Oryctolagus cuniculus: one gene and its partners. The protein of the gene in region 2 purifies or fractionates together with the protein of the main gene of each other region. This does not show direct contact. Links are inferred from orthologs where the notes say so. Each region holds a gene or a part of one and is shown on either strand. Other genes may lie near its edges. The genes, in order: MTMR1, SBF2 and MTMR2.

Evidence for each region.
Region 1: the proteins of SBF2 (region 2) and MTMR1 purify together in Homo sapiens (affinity purification with mass spectrometry; 3 studies listed by BioGRID and IntAct, with this or other methods). This does not show direct contact. The link is inferred for Oryctolagus cuniculus from reciprocal best matches to the Homo sapiens genes SBF2 and MTMR1.
Region 3: the proteins of SBF2 (region 2) and MTMR2 purify together in Homo sapiens (affinity purification with mass spectrometry; 3 studies listed by BioGRID and IntAct, with this or other methods). This does not show direct contact. The link is inferred for Oryctolagus cuniculus from reciprocal best matches to the Homo sapiens genes SBF2 and MTMR2.

What each region holds. Positions count from the first base shown.
Region 1 is NC_091453.1:129,569,577-129,572,068, reverse strand, and holds part of MTMR1 (phosphatidylinositol-3-phosphate phosphatase MTMR1), read right to left. Parts: intron 717-2,492; coding exon 552-716; 3' UTR 1-551. UniProt on the Homo sapiens protein: Lipid phosphatase that specifically dephosphorylates the D-3 position of phosphatidylinositol 3-phosphate, generating phosphatidylinositol. Could also dephosphorylate phosphatidylinositol 3,5-bisphosphate to produce phosphatidylinositol 5-phosphate.
Region 2 is NC_091432.1:56,384,959-56,388,609, reverse strand, and holds part of SBF2 (myotubularin-related protein 13), read right to left. Parts: intron 2,784-3,651; coding exon 2,656-2,783; intron 1,168-2,655; coding exon 934-1,167; intron 1-933. UniProt on the Homo sapiens protein: Guanine nucleotide exchange factor (GEF) which activates RAB21 and possibly RAB28. Promotes the exchange of GDP to GTP, converting inactive GDP-bound Rab proteins into their active GTP-bound form.
Region 3 is NC_091432.1:87,356,283-87,360,489, forward strand, and holds the start of MTMR2 (phosphatidylinositol-3,5-bisphosphate 3-phosphatase MTMR2), read right to left. Parts: upstream 2,951-4,207; 5' UTR 2,561-2,950; coding exon 2,481-2,560; intron 1-2,480. UniProt on the Homo sapiens protein: Lipid phosphatase that specifically dephosphorylates the D-3 position of phosphatidylinositol 3-phosphate and phosphatidylinositol 3,5-bisphosphate, generating phosphatidylinositol and phosphatidylinositol 5-phosphate.

The DNA of each region.
Region 1 (2,492 bases), on a different chromosome or scaffold from region 2:
AGGTTTGCTTGGAAAAGAATTTCTCACGTTGTAGAGTTAAGCAGCTATCTGCTCCCGTGACTACTACACTAAACATAAAAAAGGACGTAGGAAAATAAAGGCATGTTTCTCTTGTTTAAAAATACCTTATCTGTACATGACAGTAACTGGAACAGGAGGCCCCGTGGCATGAAGGTCACTAGAACAGATGGCAAGGGCCTGCCTCCCCTGCAAGTACTTCCCCATCACAGGTCTCAAGTGGCAGAGCTGAAGGCAGGCCTCTGGCCAGCAACGTGGTCTTTCCATGACTGGTGGTTGCATTTAACGAAGGCTGTGACTTGGAAGCAAAGGTCGGAGACTTCCTTAAACCTCCATCTGAGTTTCTCCCGAGCTGCCTAGACTAGGGGAAGGCGGGTCCCGGTGACCCCACTGACAGGAGGGCAACGGGCTGTGCACACAACGAATATACTCGCCGACAGTGGGAGCTGTCGCCTAGCCACACACATGGTCCCTGGGCCGAGTCTTAAGGTCACAGGCTCCAGGCAGGACAGCAACCGCCAGGCCATTTCCCATCAGACTGAGGTATGGACTGGAGTGGCTGCGTGGGAGGGTGACGAGCCCCGCTCCGATGACGACGAGACTGCACGCGTGGCCACCTCCCGCTGCAGGTCCTCCACTCGCTTCTGCAGCTCCGCCCTGACAGCCAGCAGCTCCTTGAGATTCTGGTGAATCGGCATCTGGCGGAGAGCAGACAGCACTGCGTTATTGGGCCGTTCTTACCTCGCTGCTCACACAGCTCGGCGCTGGAGTACTAGACTACTGGAGCATCCGCACACCCTGTGGGCCCAGCCTCTCAGGCCACCGGTCTTCCTGCCAAGCGTGCAGACTCCCGTCCCCCACAAGCCACCCTTCCCCAGCTCCTGTGTGCTAGGAAAAAAAAGCAGACGCACCAACTGTGTCCGCCAAGGCTACTGTGTGCAGAGTCAGAAGCCAGCAGTCCCCTGAGGATGGTCTCCAACCCAAGTGGAGGGCTCCAGCTGCTGCACAAAGCACTGCTGATGTGGACATCCCTCTCCCCTGGCTCCGTTATCTCTGCATTTGAGTTTTTATAAATAGTTCTGCTCACGGAACATACTTATGTTAAATCGGCACTTCCTACAAGTTGAAGTTGTAATCATTTCATCCATTGGAGGAAGGGCTCAGAGAAGCCTCTGGAGTGGGCAGCCATGCTGGGGGAACAGGCCGTTTGTTCAGCATCAATGCAGTGCCTCACCCCAATTATTTTTCATTTTATTGGAAAGATCTTCCATCTACTGGTTCACTCCCCAAATGCCTGCAACAGTCAAGGCTGGAGCCAGGAGTGTAGAACTCTTTCCAAGTCTCCCATGTGGGTGGCAGGGACCCAACTACTTGAGCCATCTGCTGCACATTAGCAGGAAGCTGGAACTGGGAAGAGAGCCAGGCCTCAGACCAAGGCACACCAATAAGGCATGTGAGTGGTCCAAGTACTTCTCTTAAACCCAGTGATGGGTGGTGCTGTGTATGTGTGATGTTCTTCCCCTGGGGTATACGGGCTACCCAGGCCCACTACTGCAGGTACAGGATCCAGCTTACCCCTTGTGAAGCTCTGAAGCTCTCAGGCTGGGCCTGAGACCAACCAAGGAGGTAGCTCACCAGCTGAGGGGTGAAGGATGTTATGGGGGTGAGCGAGATCTGAGGAGTTCCCACTGCCTGCCCGACTAGGCCTGGCCCTGCTTTCCCACAGGCACAGTTGGTACACACAGCAGCTAGTACACAGAGGTACACACAGCAGCTACAAGACTGAGTCTTAAGCCTGGGGCAGACCATGTGACTCCCCACTTAGACCAGCGTCATCTTGCCCCTACCCTGGAACTAACATCTTGACGTCGGACTCCAGGCCTGGTCTGGCTCCAGCCTGCCTGGGGCTCATCTCTCACCAGGTCTTGCCTCCTCTCCCTCAGATTCTGAGCTGTAGCATCATGGTGCCAGTGGTATACAGCCTTCCTGGAGTGCTGACAGAAGATAGCCACATGCCTCCAGTATAATGGGGTGCCCAGGAACCAGCACTGAGGAGGCTAAGAACTCCCCACTTTGCTGTCCCCTCCCTTCTTCCTGTGGTCTGCCAGTGTCAGGGCCTGATGGCGAAGGCTGACCCCAGAGACCACTGTGAGGAAGTAACAGTTCTCCAGTCCTTTGGGCCTTTTTGGTGTCTTCCCCTGTCTGTTGGGACCACTTGATTGCAGTCAAATGGAGGAAGGCTTTGCGATCAAGCTGTTAATATATATGCAGTCTCACACCCAGGGCTGCTCACATGCACTGCTTACGTCTTCGGGTAGCTTTCTGCATCCTTGCTCATTTTCATTTGCAATCAATCAAAAGCATTCCTGAAGGACTAGGAAACCCTGAAGCTTGAATATAGTATTATGCTAGAGAAAACTCCCACCTGAGAGCCAAAGTAGTCCCATGGGTGTTAGCGCATATAAGACACAGTC
Region 2 (3,651 bases):
TTCCCAGTGGGCCGATGTTTCATAGAGGTCAGGGTGTGGCCCAGAGCCATCTCCTCTGCTCTGCACCCACGGCCAGAGGGCAGCTGAAGAACATGGAAGACAAGGACCTCCGAGGTCTCCCACGCCAGGAAGAGTGTGGGAGCTCTAGGTGGTGTGTTGTGCTGTGGCCAAGATGATGGCACAGCACCTACAATTAGGCCTGTTTGTGCAAAGTGGCTTAAACAGTAAGGGATGAGATCTGTATCCTAAACACCTTTACTCTTGGGCAACCCAGGGGAAATCTCATGGCCAAAGCAAAAGGTCAAGCACTGGGCCTGCAGCCCAACCCCAACAGCTGTAGCAGAAGACAACTATGCCCCTGACAGAGGAACCCCTCAGCTCTGATGACTCCAACCAGACAAGGAAAGAGCAAAGCTAAAAAGGTCCAAGGAGATGGCTTCCCTTCTGTCTGTCAGAGCAGCTGCTTCCGTGGCAGAGTGGTCATGCTCTTCCTGGCCAGAAAACCAGAGGGAGGAAACTCTCCAGACCCGTCGGCCCCAATCAGATAAAACCTTTCCTCGGGGCGGCACTGCCAGCATGGCGTTGCTACAGAATGTTCCTTGCAGAAGACGGCTGGCAATATTCCCATCAGGCCATCAGCTACCCACACTTCTGAGCAGAGGAAGTAAAGCACCCACAGAAGCCATAGCCCAGGCCTGATTCAGCCTGCTTGCGCAGCTGAAACAATTGGGAAGCTGCCGGAAGGAGTAAATTGCTCCATTTGCCCAACTGCTTCCCTGTAATGCTGGACACTGTTTTTGGACTCTCTTCCGGTAGGTAAGCCTGGTCTGCCCTGTTCAATCTCTGGGAGGGCTGTGTGAGCCCAGAGGGAGGACAGCCGTGTTCAGAGGTTTGTAAACCAGTCTCAGGCTGGCCTGCACGTGGGTGACTTACACTGAAAAGGCTGGTGAGAGCATCGGGCTGGGCGCGGCTGACGTCATCATAGCATGGCCACACTGTTCTCCTCCGGCTCTGGGGGCCAGCTCCTCCAGGCAGGTCGGGGTCTTCAGAGGGGCAGTGTTTGGAGGTCAGCATCACCCAGTCATACGAAGGCCCTGTGGACAGGGTCTCCTCTATGTAGTAATCCCACTTTTTGAGGCTGGAGACATTTACACTGGGCTTCAGGGCCTGTTTAAAGAGAACTCTGAAATACTTCATGGTTTCATTTTGACCCCGAAGTTCCCCAAGCCTGCTGAAAGGTCAGCTGCTAACGCTTGCAGGACCAAGGGCAAGGATATGGCTAGAAGTTCAAATGCAATTTGTCTAAATATTTACAAATCATACATTAAAATACACTATTAAATAAAACATGGTCCATCTTCCCACTGTGACAACTACGACCTCCTAATGACCTGGAAGGCCAGGTTCAACTAGAGAATTCTTGGCTTCCTCAGGTTTCTACACTGGAAGTGGTGGCACTGGGTGGGGGAGTTGGCCACAGCTCCTAGTCCTTGGCCTAACCTCCTTCTCCTCCCATCTCAGCTCTACCCTATCCTCTGAGGGCCTCGCATGAGTGTTTGTGTATATCCCAGCCCACAAAGCCAAACTCCGTCCACCCCTTGCCACACAACTACTTCTTTGGGCCTGGGGGGACTTGACTTCGATTAGGAGGTGGGTATGAGGAAACATGCCGATGGCCGTCCTGGAGGTGCCCAAAGCACGGCTGAAATGAGGAAGTGTGTCTAAGCCTGCACCCTTGTTTCTGGTACTACTCATCTCATTAGTGGGTACAGGTGGAGGAAACCCAGACTGGAGTGTGAATGCAGGAGGCCTAGGACAGGAGCCTCTCTACCCCTAAGTAAGGGTAGCTCCACTTATCAAACCCGCCTGATCCAGCCTAGCGCCAACGGCAGAGCTGTGCACAGCACAGCACTCTTGCCCCTGGGAGATGCCATACTTCTTGGGCTGGGCTCCAAACATCCCTGCTTCCAACAGAGGCCCTTCCATTGCCCTGGTATGAAGGGACTGCAGGAAATCTTTTCTAAAGTATTGTATGTCTCACTTTAGAGCGTCTGTTGAGATTTCAAGTTAGTACTTTCTTCCTGAGAAAGCTGCCTTGTTTTGACTTTCTTGAATTTGTCCTTTCTAGGTTTTGTGAGGCCAGCTCCTGATTTTTATGGCAAGAATCTGGTCAACAGTCTCTATCACAACTCAAACCCACAGTGTCTCAAACTTTTAAACAGTTATTGGTATAAAAACTACTCAAGGGGCCAGCAACTGTGGCACAGCAGGTTAAAGCCCCAGCCTGCAGTGCTGCCATCCCACATGGGCCAGTTTAAGTCCCAGCTGCTCCATTTTTGATCCAGCTCCCTGCTAATGCACCTGGGAAAGCAGCAGATGATGGCCCAAGCCCTTGGTCCCCTGCACCCACATGAGAGACCCGGAAGGAGCTCCTGGTTCCTGGCTTTCAATTGGCTCAGCTCTGGCTGTTACGGCCATTTGGGGAGTGAACCAGAGGATTAAAGAGCTCTTTCTCTCTTTAACTCTGTCTTTCAAATAAATAAAATGATTCATAAGAAAAACCTGCTCAAATGTTAATAAAATCTTATAAAACTACGAAAAAATTTAACAAAATATATTCATAGAAAATGAAGCACAAATGATTTATTATTCTACCTCAATTTCCACTGGTGAATATAAATAATTGAAGAAAATGGGGCTCCTCTTGTGCATTCTGTCAATGCATTCCCAAATACACACTCCTTTTTTGGCATGTTTGTCTCCTTTATCATCAAATAAAGTTCCTGTAAATTAAAAGAGATCCAACAAAATGGAAGTTAGATAAATTAACATTGACTAAAAGCATGAGATATGTGGCAGAGGAAACATTTCTTAAGGCTCTAAAGATGGTAACCAGGCACAAAACCCTCAGCACTGCGCAGCTTCAGGGAGACAGCTCCACCGGAAGGAAGCCCCTGGCCAGCAGCTCCCGGGCAGCCCGCAGAGTATGGCGACGGACGGCGGTGCTCCTCCAGTGCACAGCCTGCATCCACATGGCCCTTCACACAGCGCAGGTGTGGGCACTTGTGTACACTTTTTTGCAAGAGAAATTATAAGCACTTAAGGGATGATGCGATTAACTCAATTAAAATTTTTTTTGTTGTTTCTTTTTAAAATTTTTGGCCGTTAGGAAGCCATTTAAAGTGTTTGTTTTGTTTGGCAGATTATAGCATGGTCACGGAGACCCTGGGTGACAGAAGAGTGGGGTCTGTATGCATGGCTGATTTAGAAATCCAATCAGAACAAAGGGGGCGTGTCGGGGATATTCTGACATTGTGTCACTTGGTTTTCAACAGGGAGGAAAATGTGTCAGGGCGAGGCAGAGGGATTTCTCTAGAAGGCCAGGAAGGGTGCTGTCTTGTTTGAATGTCTTGTTTGACGGAGTCAAAAATCACCACGCACTGTACCAGTTTATCAGGAAGGGGTGCCTCAAGCCCGAGGCAGGAGTAGGTACTGTAATATGCGCAGCCTTGAAGACGAAGTAAAGTTTTCTCCCCACCTTTTAACAGCAAAGCCCAAGCAGTGGTTCTCAACCTTGGTCACACATTAGAGAGACCAAAGGTTTAAAAGACAAAAACCAACAACCAGGTCTTGCCTCAGACCTACTAAGTC
Region 3 (4,207 bases), about 31 Mb from region 2:
ATTCATAAGGCAATTTTCTAATTGAGTCTTTGTACAAAAACGTAAGCAGAAAGCATAAAAATAAACCACAGTTTTAAGGCTGACATTTCTGTAAAAGACTGAGATAATATATCCCAAATATGGTATTTTGCTTTGTCATGAGCTAGCAAGGCAAAAACAAAAACAATCTACAAATAAACTTACCAAAGCTTTTAGAATTATGATAGCCCAGCATGGCTGTGTATTAGAATCACCAGTGACTACCTGGGTGGCCTAAAATGTTTTAAATTAAGCTTTCTAACAAGTGCTTATAATGTAGCTAATTTTATACTAAAAGGGAGTGCCACAAACAAGTATGATAACAACTGAAATAAAAAAATATGAAAGAACTTAACAGGGTAACCTTTATGTAGCAGACATTCAATAATTGTTTTTGTACCTCCCAAAGGTGAAGAATGAAAGCTGACACTCTCTTGTTGAAAATTCAAAGTCATATTTGTCCAGATAGGACAGCTAATCTATTTATAGTCAAATTCTTTTGGGGAGTTAATTTTCTCAAATTCATAAATCATTAATGTAACTTCTTTTATTAATTATAATACATATATAAACATTAACTTTCTAAAAAAAGAGAAATCTCAGCAAATTTAATGTGTCAAACTGACAGTAAGGTAAATTAGTTTATATTAATCAACAATTTATTTAATATAATTTGAAAATCCAGAACAAAGATTATTTGTAAGGAGAATATAAGTAATTGATAAAGAAAAACATTCATTTTAGTATTATTAAGATAAAAAATTATAGAAGTTTAGAATTCTATGGGCTCTTACAGATGTTTTAGACCAACTTCCTTATGTTAAAAGAGACAACTAAGGACTAGAAAGTTAACTGACACAAGCTGAATAGCTAGCTAGCCAGGGACTTTCACACAGGAGCCTCCTAACTTCCAGTAACTTATTTCTTTCTAATCTACTGTGATGCCTCCAGTGGTTCTGATTCCTCTCCTTTGGATTAGAGTTCTGGTCGCCTCATTTGTTTTCTTTATATTCTATTTTAAACCACAGTTTTCATGTATAACTTTCCCATGTGATTGTAATTTTCCAACCTGTTTTCTAAATGATTTTACAGCTGAGCATGTAAATCCTCAGCTTTCTGAATTTCACAGTAACACAGAATTCAAAAAATGGTGGAAATAAACATAATCAACTGCACAGAAAAAGTCTTTGTCCTGGATACTCCAATATACAAATTTAAAACACCACTTAGTGAGTACCTGTTACATGCACAGTCCACGGTCAGTACTGAGTGTTAGGAGATGATTAAGGTAGGCTACTAGCTTTCAAATAGCCTACAACCTAGTAGTAAAGACAAACCAACAACTACAGTGTGCTTGTTAAGGACTCTGAAAAAGGAGTAGGCAGGGAGCTATGAATGCATATGGGGAAAAAAATCTAATTTTGAATGACAGGATAAGTCAGTGGCTGGCCAATGAGGTACTGAATACCAACAGGACAAAATGGCAGTTCTATTCATGTTTAGCAGTGTCCAAAATAAACTTAACAGAATAACTTCAATTTATTCAAGGACAAAATGAAAACTGTTTTCACACAGCAGTTTAGTATCTAATAATTCTCTAGTAACAATAACACTACTTTTCAGGGTAAAAGAAACTGACTCCATTATGGCTATCTCACAATACAGGTCTTCTGTTATTTCCTAATAAATCTGAAATTACTATTTTAAAACTAAAGAAAAAGACTGTATGAAAACATTTCTAATTAGTATATACAACGGCTCTCCGCAAAGCTCATAAACTAACGTCCTCAAAAATTCCAGGACAAAATTCCCATCTGTTACAAGAGAAATGACAAGAAAGAAAACCACCACTCATTTTGCTTCCTTAAACCAATCACTGAGGATGAAGACTACTACTCAGATTCCTCCAGCTGGAACGCTGAGAAAAGCAGAAGGGATGTTTTTATTTACATATTTAAGCAAAACTGGAGGTGGGCAGAAAAATCGAAGTGTAGGGGAAAGCATAACAGAGTTAAGACTATGAAGTGATGAAAAGGAAAAAGTTAAACAAGAACTCAAAAACCACAGACTTCAATGGAAGAAAGAAAGGTTTTGGACAGAGGTAAAGAGAAAGGCAGGAAATGGGGGGTGGGGGGTAGCGGGAGAAGGCCTATCCAAAAAAAAGGGGGGGGGGATTTGAGAGAGACAAAAAAAGTAATGAGCTGGGGCTTCCCCGACCGCGGAGAAAACGAGATCGGGGTTCAAGAGGTAGCGGGACCGATGAAGCAGCAGCGAGTGTTAACCTCTTCTTCCTCAGCCTCTACGCCCCAGAGAGGAAGGAAGAAGTGCTTCCCAAGTCCCAGGGAAGGAATTCCGGCAGAGGCTTCGGGAGCCAGAAGGGGCGAGTCGGGCTCCATCCAGCGGGTCCCGGCCCCTGTCCATCCCTCTAGGACGCTGGGCGGGGCCCTGCGCGTCCTGGTTACCTGGATAGGGAGTCCACGCTGGGCGGCCGGGCTACCGCCCGCTGGGAGCCCAGACTCTCGCAGCTCGAGCTCTTCTCCATGGCGCGGCGGCGGTAGCAGGAGGGAAGGACTAAAACGACCTCCGCGGCGGCCGGGCGGGAGGAGCGGAGGGCGGAGTGCGCCGGGCTAGGGCCGCGGTTAGGCCAGCGCCGGTCCGGGAGGGAGACCGGAAGCGGCCATGTTCCCCCAGACTGCACCGCGCCCGGGGGCTGCAGGGGAGAGGGAGGACCCCGTGGCGCCCCTTAGACGCCGGCCCCGACGCGCTCGGCGGGTGCGTCCGGGCCGCCCCTGGGCTCAGGCTAGGAGGGCGACTGAGTGTTCTTGGGGTGAGAGGAACCAGTGGAGCGAAGAGAGGCGAGGATGCTGCAGAGGGAGGGAAAATTCGAGAATGAATACTGGGAAGGGACCAAGGGTCTTAGAGGGAAGGCAAGGCTCTGAAAGCGCGGAGATGATTGAGACAGGAATGTGTGGGGTCAAGGAAAACGAGAGGACAGGGTCGTGAGAAGTGGGCGGGCCCTAGGATGGAGGGGCAGAAGGAACACGGGGGTCGGTAGGCGGGGAGTACGCGAAAATGGGTGTACTTAAGGGATGAGGAGACCAGAGATAAAGATGAATGAGGGGCTGCAATGGTTATGGGGTAGAGCGGCGCAGACATGGTTCAAATTCAGGCTTTGCCAGCCTCGTGCATGTAATGCAGAGCCTTGAAACTCGGCTTACCTTTAAAAATGGAAGAACAATCTCCGCTTGGATGAGTGTTTAAGTGTAAAATGCTTAAAACGATGTAGGGCAGAGAATAAGCAGACAGCTAGTAGAGTTACCTTCTACCTAAGCTGTAGCGAATAGATTGGACTAATGCATAGAACGTTTCTAGCATAAATTCAATAAATGGTAGCTGCCATGAGAAGATGAAGGAAGGATAGCACAGAAGCAAGAAGTGGTTGCTGGAGGTAATGGGGAGAGCATACCATTGGTAGCGAAAAAACAGTGCTGATCTCTCAGTTCCTCTTCCTCACCTGGCCCAGCGTCAAGGAGAGGGCACTGGGAAAGGAGCTGAAATTGGAGGCCGACCGTGACTTGGATTGAGTGGATTTGTAGAGTGTCCAAAAGTGTGTCCAGGAAAAGCACTTTGACATCAATCTGCTGTCCCCTTTAGAAAGAATTGCGGAAGAGAGAATGGGGGAGAACTAATAAATATACACAAAAAACTTGGTGTTTAATAAAGGACAAACTTTTCCTGCTGTTTCACATTCCACTGCAGAGCAGGAAGGGAGTGTGGAGGGATAGAGCTATGATAAGAGAACAGGAACTGGGTAAAAGGGAAATGCTTGTGCTAGTAATTTTCCTTTACACAGAACACAGGAAAGACAGGACAACAGAAAAGAATTCTGATTGAAAAGGAATTCCAGTCACATCATATGGGGTGTAAAGTTATGCAAAGATTATGTCTGTAAAATACTACACTAAATCTTTTTTTTAATTCCTTGCTAAGATAAATAGGATTATACTGATTTAAATTAAATTTGAATTCTACTCTGCAATTGATGTTTTTAGGAAATTCTTAAAGTATAGGAGCAGTAAGATCTTAACTTGCTAGTACATTCTCCAGAAGAACAACCTACTTTTGTTACTTTTAGGGTAAGAGTAGTTATTAATGAATCGATGTGTGCTTAAGTACAAAATCTGTTCTC